Xenopus tropicalis: one gene and its partners. The protein of the gene in region 1 interacts with the protein of each later gene in a pairwise test. Links are inferred from orthologs where the notes say so. Each region holds a gene or a part of one and is shown on either strand. Other genes may lie near its edges.

Region 1 (3,985 bases):
CTATAATATTTTAATCAATCATTAAATCAATACAAAAAGATACAAGTCATAAGTTAAAAGATACAATAGGATATAGTGATAATCAAAAACAGTTCGTTAAAACTAAAATGTTGGCCCTATTAGTTCATTAAAAAAGTGAACTAGGATAAATGAGGATGGTACAATAAATACGTGCATAAATAGTCATTTAAAAAGCTAAACGTATTTATTGTACCATCCTCATTTATCCTAGTTCACTTTTTTAATGAACTAATAGGGCCAACAATTTAGTTTTAACGAACTGTTTTTGATTATCACTATATCCTATTGTATCTTTTAACTTATGACTTGTATCTTTTTGTATTGATTTAATGATTAATTAAAATATTATAGAATTTTTACACTTGGTGGTATATTTTTTTAGCGCTAACTCCTTGTTATAATATTTATATATTCACTGTGAGGATTAGTTTGGAGGAAGGAGGCTATTTATGATATTCTATTCACTATTTGGGTAAGAGGATTGTTGTTGGGTAATTTAATTTGTTTTTTAGAATAATATTAGTCTTTCACGAACTACACATAAATTTATTAGAAGCGCGGGTAAGGTTTATTCACACAATTTTGATAATTATGTCTATTCTCCACCCACCCTATGCCTCGGTATCTGTTATTTAGTCTCTTCCCAATGTGTCCTCTAATATAGAGGCATCAGGGGCTCTCAAGGGATCAGATTGACAAGATAAGATAACCAATTTTTTTTTCATATAAGCAATTGTCTGTAATTTGGCTCATTCATTTAACCAGTTTATATAAACATTTGTGGTCAATTTCAATCATGCGACGCAACCAAAAAGGTTAAGAATCACCTACTAAAACGTCAAAAGCCACGTAAAGCCAGGTAAAGCCAATCTACTATGTAACGGGGCCTTTTAATGATGTGAGGCTGGCAGTGCCAAAGCCATTAGACGCCTACTATTAATGCTCGGCTTTGGAGAGGTTAATGCTCTATACAGAAAAAACACTGGATATCAATGGTTAAAGGCTGACGTTCGCATTACAATATGGACACAAAAGCGCCACCTAGTGCTCAGCGTCTGTGCAAGCGCATACCCCTACCATTTGCCGCAAGCCGCAGCAGTGCGCGTCAGCAAAATGTGGGCGGTGCCGCATGTATCGGAAATGAGGTCATTCCCAAGAACCGGAACACCTTCCTTGTCTGGTTCTCTTGTGCTGTTATTGTGCCCGGAGGAAGGAAAAGCGTAGAGCGGTCCAGTGTAGCGAACCGATACCGGCCGAGAGCAGTTAGCATGTCTGATCAGGTGAGACACTTTTGTGGAGTGGGCGGGAGAACGAGAGAAAGTCTCTGGGACGTGTGTGTCTTGTTTTGTGTGTCTGGAGACCTGCTTGTAGATGTAAACAAGTAGGTCTCATGGCTACACATTAATATGCAGCTAAAGTAGTACATGCGGCCCATAACCAAGGGCGGCAGCTAAGTCATTTACTTTCATTTTATACGACACTTAGACTATTAGAGCTGGTTGCTATGGGTTTCTGCTGCTGTGCACTTTTGCTGGATAAACTGCTCTATAGGACCCACACCCCGTTGTGTGTCGTGTAATTTGCTTTATGTCTTATTGTCCAGTATGTGTATCTTCTCCTGTAGATGTTATTATCTGTGAGTAATTGCCCAGTGGTGGTTGGCGAAGTGAGAGGCCTAACAGGAAAGCCAGAGATATATTGGCCCATATAGTTATTTGACCTATATAAAGTATATATTAACCTAACAAGTTTCAGCAGCTTTAGCCTTATGGGGTCTCACACAGCATTGATTTGTTACAGTAGGGTAAATCTGTTAGCCTGGAAGAGCTCAAAGCATTTCAGAACTATCAGGTACATAAATTAAGTCTATTTATGAGCATCCACTAAGTGTTTGTAGATACATTATTATGTTTGGTTGAAAATATAACAATCGCGTTTAACCCTTCCAAACAAACACCGCTGCACACGTATACACATGTTAATTTAATTGTAGTGGTAATTCCCATTACCCAGGGGAGGTATCATGTTAAGCTGTGTGTAGGTATGTGGGAGTTAACGATTGATCTCTTGTAGTACACTCTGCTTGTTTATATTGTATGTAATGTTCAAGCACATCTTGTTTTCTTGCATGACTTTCATAGTTTAGGATCCCAATCTTATCTTTAATGCAGCCACCTAAAGGGTGACGGTTTAAACATTCAAGTGGACTACAGGCCAAAATGATTAGATCCCTGTGATGTTGGGCAGTACCAGCTAGTCCTGTCACTTCAAACTTTGCTGATGCCGCATTCATGTGGGCATGGGGACCACTGGGAGCCCCAAATTTCTGTCTGGCCCAATTAAGTGCACTTTCAATGGTGCGACGGATTAAATACCAGTGATGCACGCAGATGTTTCTGTTGAAAGCTGTTTTTCCCATTATTGGTATTTATTGCCTTACATTTAGGGCAACATTGCGTACATGCATTTGTGTCAAATGTATATCACTCTGTTATTTTGTATCTCAGTCTGTGGGTATGTGTGAACAAGTATTCCCATTTCATCATACACCTCTAAAATAGTGTCTGAAAAGTTGCTTTTTGTACAGCTTTACTGAAAAAAAATTTAAATACTTTGCTAGCACCATTGAGCAATTCCATTCACTGCTGGGTGCTTTTCCAAGATGTGCAGAAGAGTTAGTAGGGCTCCTAAATTATCTCTGCAAGTGTAATTTCAGTCTCTAACTTCCGCGCAGTTAGTTGTGTGTAAAACCACTTTCATTTGAGGTACGTAAGTGAAAATGCGCTTCTTAAAGGACAAGGAAAGTCGAAATCTATTAAGCACACTATTAAATAGTACTACTATTGCTGTGTAAAAACGCTATATTTCTGGCTTGCCCAATGAAATATTTACAGAGATACACATACTAGAACTTACATACTTGTTTCAGTGAACGGCGCCGCCATCTTGTCCAGCATGTCTGTATGGGCTATTGCTGAAAAGCACAAGCCAGCCCCCCTCCGATCCCCTCACCTGCCACAAACCCTCCACCGCTCCCCGCTTCTGCCACAACCCCCCCCCGCTTCTGCCACAACCCCCCCCCCGCTTCTGCCACAACCCCCCCCCGCTCCTGCCACAACCCCCCCCGCTCCTGCCACAACCCCCCCCTGCTCCTGCCACAACCCCCCCCTGCTCCTGCCACAACCCCCCCCTGCTCCTGCCACAACCCCCCCCCGCTCCTGCCACAACCCCCCCCCCCCTGCTCCTGTCACAAACCCTCCGCCGCTTCCCACTCCTGCCACAAACCCCCCGCCGCTCCTCCCACCTGCCGGCTCTGCATGTCACAAATGCAGATGCATCACTGCATATCAACTCCCCCGGCTCCCCGCTCCTGCCACAAACCCTCTGCCGCTCCCCCCACCTGCCAGGTCTGAATGTCACAGAGCAGAGTTCTCCTGTCGGCTGCGTCGCCATGGCAACCAGACGCTCCTGCTGTGTGCGCATGCGCTGCCTACAGTCCCAAGTTGCCAAGTCTGGGCAGGAGCGTTGCATTATGGGAATCTTCTCTACCCTGCTCAGCGTTTTTTTTTCCTGTTTGGCTTCTGATCTTCTGAACAGGTGAAGTATGGGGAGACTTAAGGGCACTATTGAGTCAACTGAAGGTATGCCTGCAGTTTGGGATTAACTCTTTATTAGCCTTTCCTTCTCCTTTAAACTTTAATGTAGGTGTGCTTGGCACAGCTCAGTCCTTCCTGTCTTGTGAACTAAGGCACAACACAATTGCACCAAGCACATTGACTCTTGCAACTGCAAAGATGCTGGAATTCTGGGAAAAATATTGCATTGTGGAAAAAACTAGGCGATTGCAGTTAAAATTGCACATGCAGATGTATAGGTACCCTGGTGTCTCATCAGTTTTCATTGTAGGATGTAAATCAATTGGCAGCTAGGCCGAGTTTGTGAAAGGCCACAAAGACCTTCCCTA
Region 2 (4,214 bases), on another chromosome or scaffold:
TAGCCCTTGGCCTATACATATCAGTGAATCTCTAGGTACACTGCTGCTCACAGCAAAAAGGGCCCCTGATAAGTTAACTGTGGAGAATATGGGGCCACAGTCTAAGGGGAAAAAAATGTAATCCAGGGACGTACAACCTGCAGCCATCCATCTATTGCAGAACTACAACTCCCATCATCCCCTGCGCCACAGGGTGGACAAATGCCCCTTTAGACCCTACCCTAACGCTACTGCTGCTATGAACCAGACACCTGCAATTCCCCCCCCCGTGCCAGCCTTATTATCCCAGGGCACCGTGGGCACAGAAGCAGGAGGAAGAGCGGGCACACGTGGTGCCAACACTTATTTTTAACCAGGAAATGGAAATTTCTTCCTTAAAGCGGCAGCCAAGAGAGAGAGAGAAATTACACTTACACAATAGAGGTGGAAATAGTCTTCTCTTTCCCCATGACATAAACACTCTATGGGGTTAACTCTTTCAGGGTACAAATCTAATCACATATCCCGCCATTTATAGTAAGAGAACAACACCCTTGGTTCTGCAGGGGATGCTGGGAGATGTAGTTCAGGAAGCAGATACTGCAACTGCTGTCGGCCCTGGAGTGTGGCTTTGAAATTTATTTTATTGTTGGGCTTTAGTCACTTCTAATTATGCCATTGTTTCAAGGGATATAGCCCCCCCTTGTCAGATTAACAATAACACTTTTTTTTTAAATTGCAAGCTCTTGGGATTAGACACCTCTAACAAGGTATGGGACCTGTTATCCAGAATGCTCGGGACCTGGGGTTTTCCAAATAAGGGATCTTTCCATAACTTGGATCTCCATAACTTAAGTCTGCTAAACATCATTTAACCATTAAATAAACCCAATAGGGCTGTTCTGCCCCCAATAAGGGGTAATTATATCTTAGTTGGGATCAAGTACAGGTACTGTTTTATTATTACAGAGAAAAGGGAATCATTTAACCATTAAATAAACCCAATAGGGCTGTTCTGCCCCCAATAAGGGGTAATTATATCTTAGTTGGGATCAAGTACAGGTACTGTTTTATTATTACAGAGAAAAGGGAATCATTTAACCATGAAATAAACCCAATAGGGCTGTTCTGCCCCAATAAGGGGTAATTATATCTTAGTTGGGATCAAGTACAGGTACTGTTTTATTATTACTGAGAAAAAGGATATCATTTTAAAAAATTAGATTTACTTATAATGGAGTCTATGGGAGATGGCCTTTCCGTAATTCAGAACTTTCTGGATAACCGGTTTCCGGATAAGAGATCCCATACCTGTAATATGTTCTATTACCGGTTAGGCCTGTAACACAAAGGCCCCAAACCATTACTTCCTGTCTCCTATGAAAATCAGATTAGCTACAGGGGTCCCCCCCTAACTTTCCCCTATATTTATGGTTTGAAATGGCAGTAATTACCATTAAAAGCACATTCCGTCTGCTGTCTATATTCTTTCATTAAGCAAGTATTTAGGTGAAGCTCCCCTTAACAGTAATGACCCCCTTCCTTAAGGGTAAACTTGTACAAAAATACATATTAAAAATACTCAGTAAATAGATATACAGAATCCTCGGGGTAAAATAGAGACCATCTGTGCCGGGAAACCCAGCACTGCACTTACTACTTCAGCGAATGAGCAGCTTTACTCACAATAATGCAGCGATCATAGGAATAGTACATAGGGGCAGCATGGGAAAAGTTTCTGAGAAGTGCGGGGTAAATAAGAGAATAGGAGATAGATTGTATCTGTCAGAGCAGCGAAGCCTCAGCATTGAGCCCATAGCAACGTGTGGGGGGAAAGGCTTCCCAACCTGCAGGGGTTCCGGGGCAGGAAGGGGCACTAAGGCTGCTGGGTAGGGGTACTAAGGCTGCTGGGAAGGAGTACTAAGGCTGCTGGGAAGGGGCATTAAGGCTGCTGGGAAGGGGTAAGGAAGGGGCACTAAGGCTGCTGGGAAGGAGTAAGGAAGGGGCACTAAGGCTGCTGGGAAGGAGTACTAAGGCTGCTGGGAAGGGGCACTAAGGCTGCTGGGAAAGGGCACTAAGGCTGCTGGGAAGGGGTAAGGAAGGGGCACTAAGGCTGCTGGGAAGGGGTAAGGAAGAGGCACTAAGGCTGCTGGGAAGGGGCACTAAGGCTGCTGGGAAGGGGTAAGGAAGGGGCACTAAGGCTGCTGGGAAGGGGTACTAAGGCTGCTGGGAAGGGGCACGGAAGGGGCACTAAGGCTGCTGGGAAGGGGCACTAAGGCTGCTGGGAAGGGGCACTAAGGCTGCTGGGAAGGGGTAAGGAAGGGGCACTAAGGCTGCTGGGAAGGGGTAAGGAAGGGGCACTAAGGCTGCTGGGAAGGGGCACTAAGGCTGCTGGGAAGGGGCACTAAGGCTGCTGGGAAGGGGTAAGGAAGGGGCACTAAGGCTGCTGGGAAGGGGTAAGGAAGGGGCACTAAGGCTGCTGGGAAGGGGTAAGGAAGGGGCACTAAGGCTGCTGGGAAGGGGTACTAAGGCTGCTGGGAAGGGGTAAGGAAGGGGCACTAAGGCTGCTGGGAAGGGATATGGAAGAGACAGAGACACTCACCTTAATGTAACACTGAGCTGAAGACATTTCCAGGAAACAGAGAGTCGTTTTTTAAGGATAAAGGGGGGTCGGGGGGGTTGCAGCGAGGGGGGGCGCCCCCTTCCCCCTCTGGGAAACAAAAACTTAGCACATTGTAGTCCAGGGGTGCAGCTGGGGCTTCAGGGGGGCTCTCCTTGCACTTCTCCCAGCAGGGCAATCCTGTTGCTTGGGGCTGATGGGAACTGCTGCCCCTGCCGCTCTGGGGGGATTTCTTTCCTCTGGTTTCCTTCCTGGAAGAGAGAAACTACAGGCAGAAGTGAGTCTCCCCCCTTCCTCCCTCCGGCTCATTGATCTTAAAGTGTGCAAGTCCTGAATCTGACGTGAATTCCCAGCACTCAGCACTGCCTCTTAAAGGGACAGTAGCACCAGGAAGCAGCCCGAGCCCATACAGGGAAATGCCTGGGAGAGAAAAGAAAGCAAGTGGGGGAGGGGAGGGGGAAGGGCGGGAAGGGCTGGGGGGGGGGAGATGGAGGAAGTGAGAAACAAAAAAATAAAAACAAAAAAAACCAAAGGGGCAGAGGAGGAAGGTTAGGGGGATTGGGAAGGAAGGGGCAGGGGGATTGGGAAGGAGGGCAGGAAGGGCAGGGGGGATGAGCAGGGGAGGAAGGGCAGGGGGGTTGGGCAGGGGGATTGGGAAGGAGGGCAGGAAGGGCAGGGGGGATGAGCAGGGGAGGAAGGGCAGGGGGGTTGGGCAGGGGAGGAAGGGGCAGGGGCAGGGAGATTGGGAAGGAGGGCAGGGGAGGAAGGGCAGGGGGGATGGGCAGGGGAGGAAGGGCAGGGGGGTTGGGCAGGGGAGGAAGGGCAGGGGGGTTGGGCAGAGACAGGGAAGGAAGGGCAGGGGGATTGGGAAGGGGCAGAGGAGGAGGGGCAGGGGAGAAAGGGCAGGGAAGGAAGGGCAGGTGGATTGGGAAGGGCAGGGGAGGGGTATTGGGAAGGGGCAGGGGAGAAAGGGCAGGGGGGTTGGGAAGGGGCAGAGGGGGAAGAGCAGGGGGGTTGGGAAGGGGCAGGGGAGGAAGAGCAGGGGCAGGGGGGTTGGGAAGGGGCAGGGGAGGAAGGGCAGGGGGGTTGGGAAGGGACAGAGGGGGAAGAGCAGGGGCAGGGGGGTTGGGAAGGGGCAGGGGAGGAAGAGCAGGGGCAGGGGGGTTGGGAAGGGGCAGGGGAGGAAAGGCAGGGGGGTTGGGAAGGGGCAGGGGAGGAAGAGCAGGGGCAGGGGGGTTGGGAAGGGGAGGGGTATTGGGAAGGGGCAGGGGAGAAAGGGCAGGGGGGTTGGGAAGGGGCAGAGGGGGAAGAGCAGGGGCAGGAGGGTTGGGAAGGGGCAGGGGAGAAAGGGCAGGGGCAGGGGCAGGGGAGGAAGGGCAGGTTGGAGGGGTAATGAGTAAATGCAGGAAGAATTAGGAAGGAAAGTGAGCAGAGAGGGGGAGGGGGGCAGGGAGTTGAGGGACATGGGGGGGGGGGGGGACACTGGAGGACAGAGTACCATAGAGAAGCCAATATAGGGGCACAGAGAAGGATCCTTAACATCTAAATATATATATATAATATATACTGAGCTCTATCAGTTCTCAGGGGCTGAAAGGTACAGGGATTTGCCCCT
Region 3 (4,047 bases), on another chromosome or scaffold:
CCATCAGTCTTCTTGGATGTTCTGCGACCCCTTGGAGAGGTCTCTGCACCCTTGCAGTTACTTTGGTAGGCCAGCCAAGGCAAGATTTGATATAATGTTCTCTTCACGGTTATTCTATGGAGTCCAAAAGCCTGAGAAACTGACATTCTTTGACTAATCATCTCTTCTGGAAATTTCTTTAGGGTGACATTACATCTTTGTAGAAACCTCTGGTTGAATACTTTGCTCCCACGTTATTGGGAGTGTTCTGTGTTACCAGGCTATAGACTCTCATATTTCTAGTAGACACTAAATCTGGATGGTTTGCAAATATAAATGACGTACCTCTTCTTTTCCATAGCAAAGAATGCTTCATGCAATGTTTTCTGCCTTTTAGTGTGTTCAGATTTCCTGTGTTACAAAACCACTGCTTCCTGTTGTCTACTTTTCTGTCAGAGAGCTGATGAAGGTTGTTATGATAACCAGAAATCTGGGTACAATGTTTTGTAACAAGTGGGAATTTAAGGTCAAGCAATACTGTGCTCTGCTCGGAGCATTCATTTGGAAAAATAGACCGCGCTCACACTTACGTCGATTCCACAACAGGTGTCACATAAATGGTTGCACAAGAGGCATCCTGAGGCATACTGTACAGATGTTCTCCTGGCCAAACAATGTAGCTTCAAGCTCAGGCATCCCTTTTTTTAACTCCTCCTAGCCAATCCCATTATGCCACTTGCTACAGAACCTACTTTCTCCATCATTCGGACAGCAACTCTCTTTGGAAAGTTTTCTAGCAGCTTCTCCCTCCTTGGCAGCCCCTGGCTTCTTCCTCACTCCACCCTCCAGCAACACCTGGCTCCTGCCTCACCCATTTTCTAGCTCCAGTCTACCTTTGGCACAGCCGAGATCCTTCAGTCACTATGGCAGCACACAGCTCATGCCACCCCTTACTTGCATTCAGCTCCTGCCTCACTTGGCAGCACCCGGTAGATCCAATTGCCAGTAAATAGGTCCCTCGACATCACCAAGCCCCGACTCTTCCCACTTCCCATTGCAGCATTTAGCTTCTGTCTACCTTTAGTATCGCACTAATTTCCGGAGGCAGCACCCAGTTCCTCCCCGAGGCAAAAAGACAGCTACTATACTTTCACTTTGCATCAAATGGCTGTCTACGTTTCACACAACCAAGATCCTTCCTGCCACTTAGGAGCAACCAGCTGCTGCCCATTCACTTAGATGAATCCACCTGGTGGTTCTCCCCACTGCAGCATCTAGCATGTCGACCTCAGCATCACCCAGCTCCTATAGATCCAACTGCTAGTACTTCCGTGTCTTCATGTGGCAGCACCCAGCGCCTGCCCCTCACTCCATGGCAGCGCCCAGCACCTGCCGACCTCAGCATCACCCAGCTCCTGTAGATCCAACTGCCAGTACTTCTGTGTCTTCATGTGACAGCTCCTGCCCCTCACTCCGCGGCAGTGCCCAGAACCCATAGATCCAACTGCCAGTACTTCTGTGCCTTCATGAAGCAGCACCAAGCCCCTGACACTCCCTCTGTGGCAGCACCCAGCACTTGCCACTCACTGCCTGGCAGTACCTAGTGCCTGCCTCATCCACTGCTAGTTCATCACAATATCTCCCTTTGGCAGCACCCAGATGCAGCCCCACTGCCTGGCAGCACCCAGATCCTGTCCATGTTTGGTATTACTTAGATCGTTACCTCCACATGTCAGCACCCATCTCTTGGCTCTCCCCCCCCCCCCCTGCAGCACCCAGCTCTTGGCTCTTCCCCCCCCCCCCTGCAGCACCAAGCTCTTGGCTCTTCCCCCCCCCCCCCCCTGCAGCACCCAGCTCTTGGCTCTTCCCCCCCCCCTGCAGCACCCAGCTCTTGGCTCTTCCCCCCCCCTGCAGCACCCAGCTCTTGGCTCTTCCCCCCCCCCCCTGCAGCACCCAGCTCTTGGCTCTTCCCCCCCCCCCCCCCCCCTGCAGCACCCAGCTCTTGGCTCTTCCCCCCCCCCCTGCAGCACCCAGCTCTTGGCTCTCCCCCCCCCCCTGCAGCACCCAGCTCTTGGCTCTCCCCCCCCCCTGCAGCACCCAGCTCTTGGCTCTCCCCCCCCCCCCCTGCAGCACCCAGCTCTTGACTCTGCCTATCGCAGCAGCAGCTCCTGTAGGCAGCACCCAGCTCCTGTAGGCAGCACCCAGCTCCTGTAGGCAGCACCCAGCTCCTGTAGGCAGCACCCAGCTCCTGTAGGCAGCACCCAGCTCCTGTAGGCAGCACCCAGCTCCTGTAGGCAGCACCCAAACCATTACTTTACCTTGGCAATAGCCAGCTCCAAATGCCGGGTACTCAGCAACATGTGCTGCTGCCAGCTCCTCCATTCCCCCTGTAGCACCCAGCCCTGCCTTGTACTATCAGTAGAGCCAGAAGCCAATGCAGCAGGAAGACATTGCAGAGCTATTTTACCACATGGCACATAAGGGCAGCCCAATAACAGCCGCAGCCCCAGTGCCCCTGGGCCACAATGCGTGGCAGGGAAACCCATTGGCGCTTTCTGCCAGGAGCCCCCGCCTCCCCCTTACCGTGCCCGTGTCCGCCTTCTGCCTGTCAGCCCTTTCCCGCCATTCCATTTGCCGCCGCTTCTTCTCACCGGGCTTCCCCTGAGGCCTACTGCATTCTGTCACACCGGGGATTTGCCCAACTTATTTATACGGCTCCCCTCACTCCTCCTTGGCCCTTACAAGCGCCGCCCATGTGGAAGTGACGTTCCAGGCCACGCAATGTTTACTCGCATCACTTTGTGCCCCTATCACATGCTGCCCAGGGTGGCCAGGTTGGCAGGTAGGCGGGTTTCCCGCCACATTGGGCCACTAATTTAATGCCCTGGCGAGTTTCCAAAGTACAAACCCGCCAAGGAACAGTTTTGGTCTATTTTTTTGGAGCCTTGGCGGGTTTGTAGTTTGGAAACTAACCAAAGTTTTTTTTCCCCTGCTCCACTGCATGCTGGGTAATGTAGTTTGTCTGTAACAATTAGCCTACAGCTAGGATTAATATAAAACTACAATACCCAGCATGCAATTGGGCAGTATAGACAGAGGTTCTGTTTTGAATTCTTTTTTGCTTTTTCAGGCTCAACCTGTCTGTTCTGCAATCTGCTCCCTGCTCTATAGGGTATGTGATTGTACTGTTACTTTCTACTGGGATGTGGGGCAGTTCTACCCCCTGCTCCCTGCTCTATAGGGTATGTGATTGTACTGTTACTTTCTACTGGGATGTGGGGCAGTTCTACCCCCTGCTCCCTGCTCTATAGGGTATGTGATTGTACTGTTACTTTCTACTGGGATGTGGGGCAGTTCTACCCCCTGCTCTATAGGGTATGTGACTGTACTGTTACTTTCTACTGGGATGTGGGGCAGTTCTACCCCCTGCTCCCTGCTCTATAGGGTATGTGACTGTACTGTTACTTTCTACTGGGATGTGGGGCAGTTCTACCCCCTGCTCTATAGGGTATGTGACTGTACTGTTACTTTCTACTGGGATGTGGGGCAGTTCTACCCCCTGCTCTATAGGGTATGTGATTGTACTGTTACTTTCTACTGGGATGTGGGGCAGTTCTACCCCCTGCTCTATAGGGTATGTGACTGTACTGTTACTTTCTACTGGGATGTGGGGCAGTTCTACCCCCTGCTCTATAGGGTATGTGACTGTACTGTTACTTTCTACTGGGATGTGGGGCAGTTCTACCCCCTGCTCCCTGCTCTATAGGGTATGTGATTGTACTGTTACTTTCTACTGGGATGTGGGGCAGTTCTACCCCCTGCTCCCTGCTCTATAGGGTATGTGATTGTACTGTTACTTTCTACTGGGATGTGGGGCAGTTCTACCCCCTGCTCTATAGGGTATGTGATTGTACTGTTACTTTCTACTGGGATGTGGGGCAGTTCTACCCCCTGCTCCCTGCTCTATAGGGTATGTGATTGTACTGTTACTTTCTACTGGGATGTGGGGCAGTTCTACCCCCTGCTCCCTGCTCTATAGGGTATGTGACTGTACTGTTACTTTCTACT

What was found.
Region 2: the proteins of sumo1 (region 1) and etv6 interact in a two-hybrid assay, tested with the Homo sapiens proteins (2 studies listed by BioGRID). The link is inferred for Xenopus tropicalis from reciprocal best matches to the Homo sapiens genes SUMO1 and ETV6.
Region 3: the proteins of sumo1 (region 1) and setx interact in a two-hybrid assay, tested with the Homo sapiens proteins (2 studies listed by BioGRID and IntAct). The link is inferred for Xenopus tropicalis from reciprocal best matches to the Homo sapiens genes SUMO1 and SETX.

What each region holds. Positions count from the first base shown.
Region 1 is NC_030685.2:52,313,296-52,317,280, reverse strand, and holds the start of sumo1 (small ubiquitin-related modifier 1 precursor), read left to right. Parts: upstream 1-1,185; 5' UTR 1,186-1,289; coding exon 1,290-1,301; intron 1,302-3,985. UniProt on the Homo sapiens protein: Ubiquitin-like protein that can be covalently attached to proteins as a monomer or a lysine-linked polymer.
Region 2 is NC_030679.2:8,142,645-8,146,858, reverse strand, and holds the start of etv6 (transcription factor ETV6), read right to left. Parts: upstream 2,801-4,214; 5' UTR 2,609-2,800; coding exon 2,582-2,608; intron 1-2,581. UniProt on the Homo sapiens protein: Transcriptional repressor; binds to the DNA sequence 5'-CCGGAAGT-3'. Plays a role in hematopoiesis and malignant transformation.
Region 3 is NC_030684.2:11,767,689-11,771,735, reverse strand, and holds the start of setx (probable helicase senataxin), read right to left. Parts: upstream 2,801-4,047; 5' UTR 2,563-2,800; intron 2,415-2,562; exon of another isoform or gene 2,298-2,414; intron 1-2,297. UniProt on the Homo sapiens protein: Probable RNA/DNA helicase involved in diverse aspects of RNA metabolism and genomic integrity.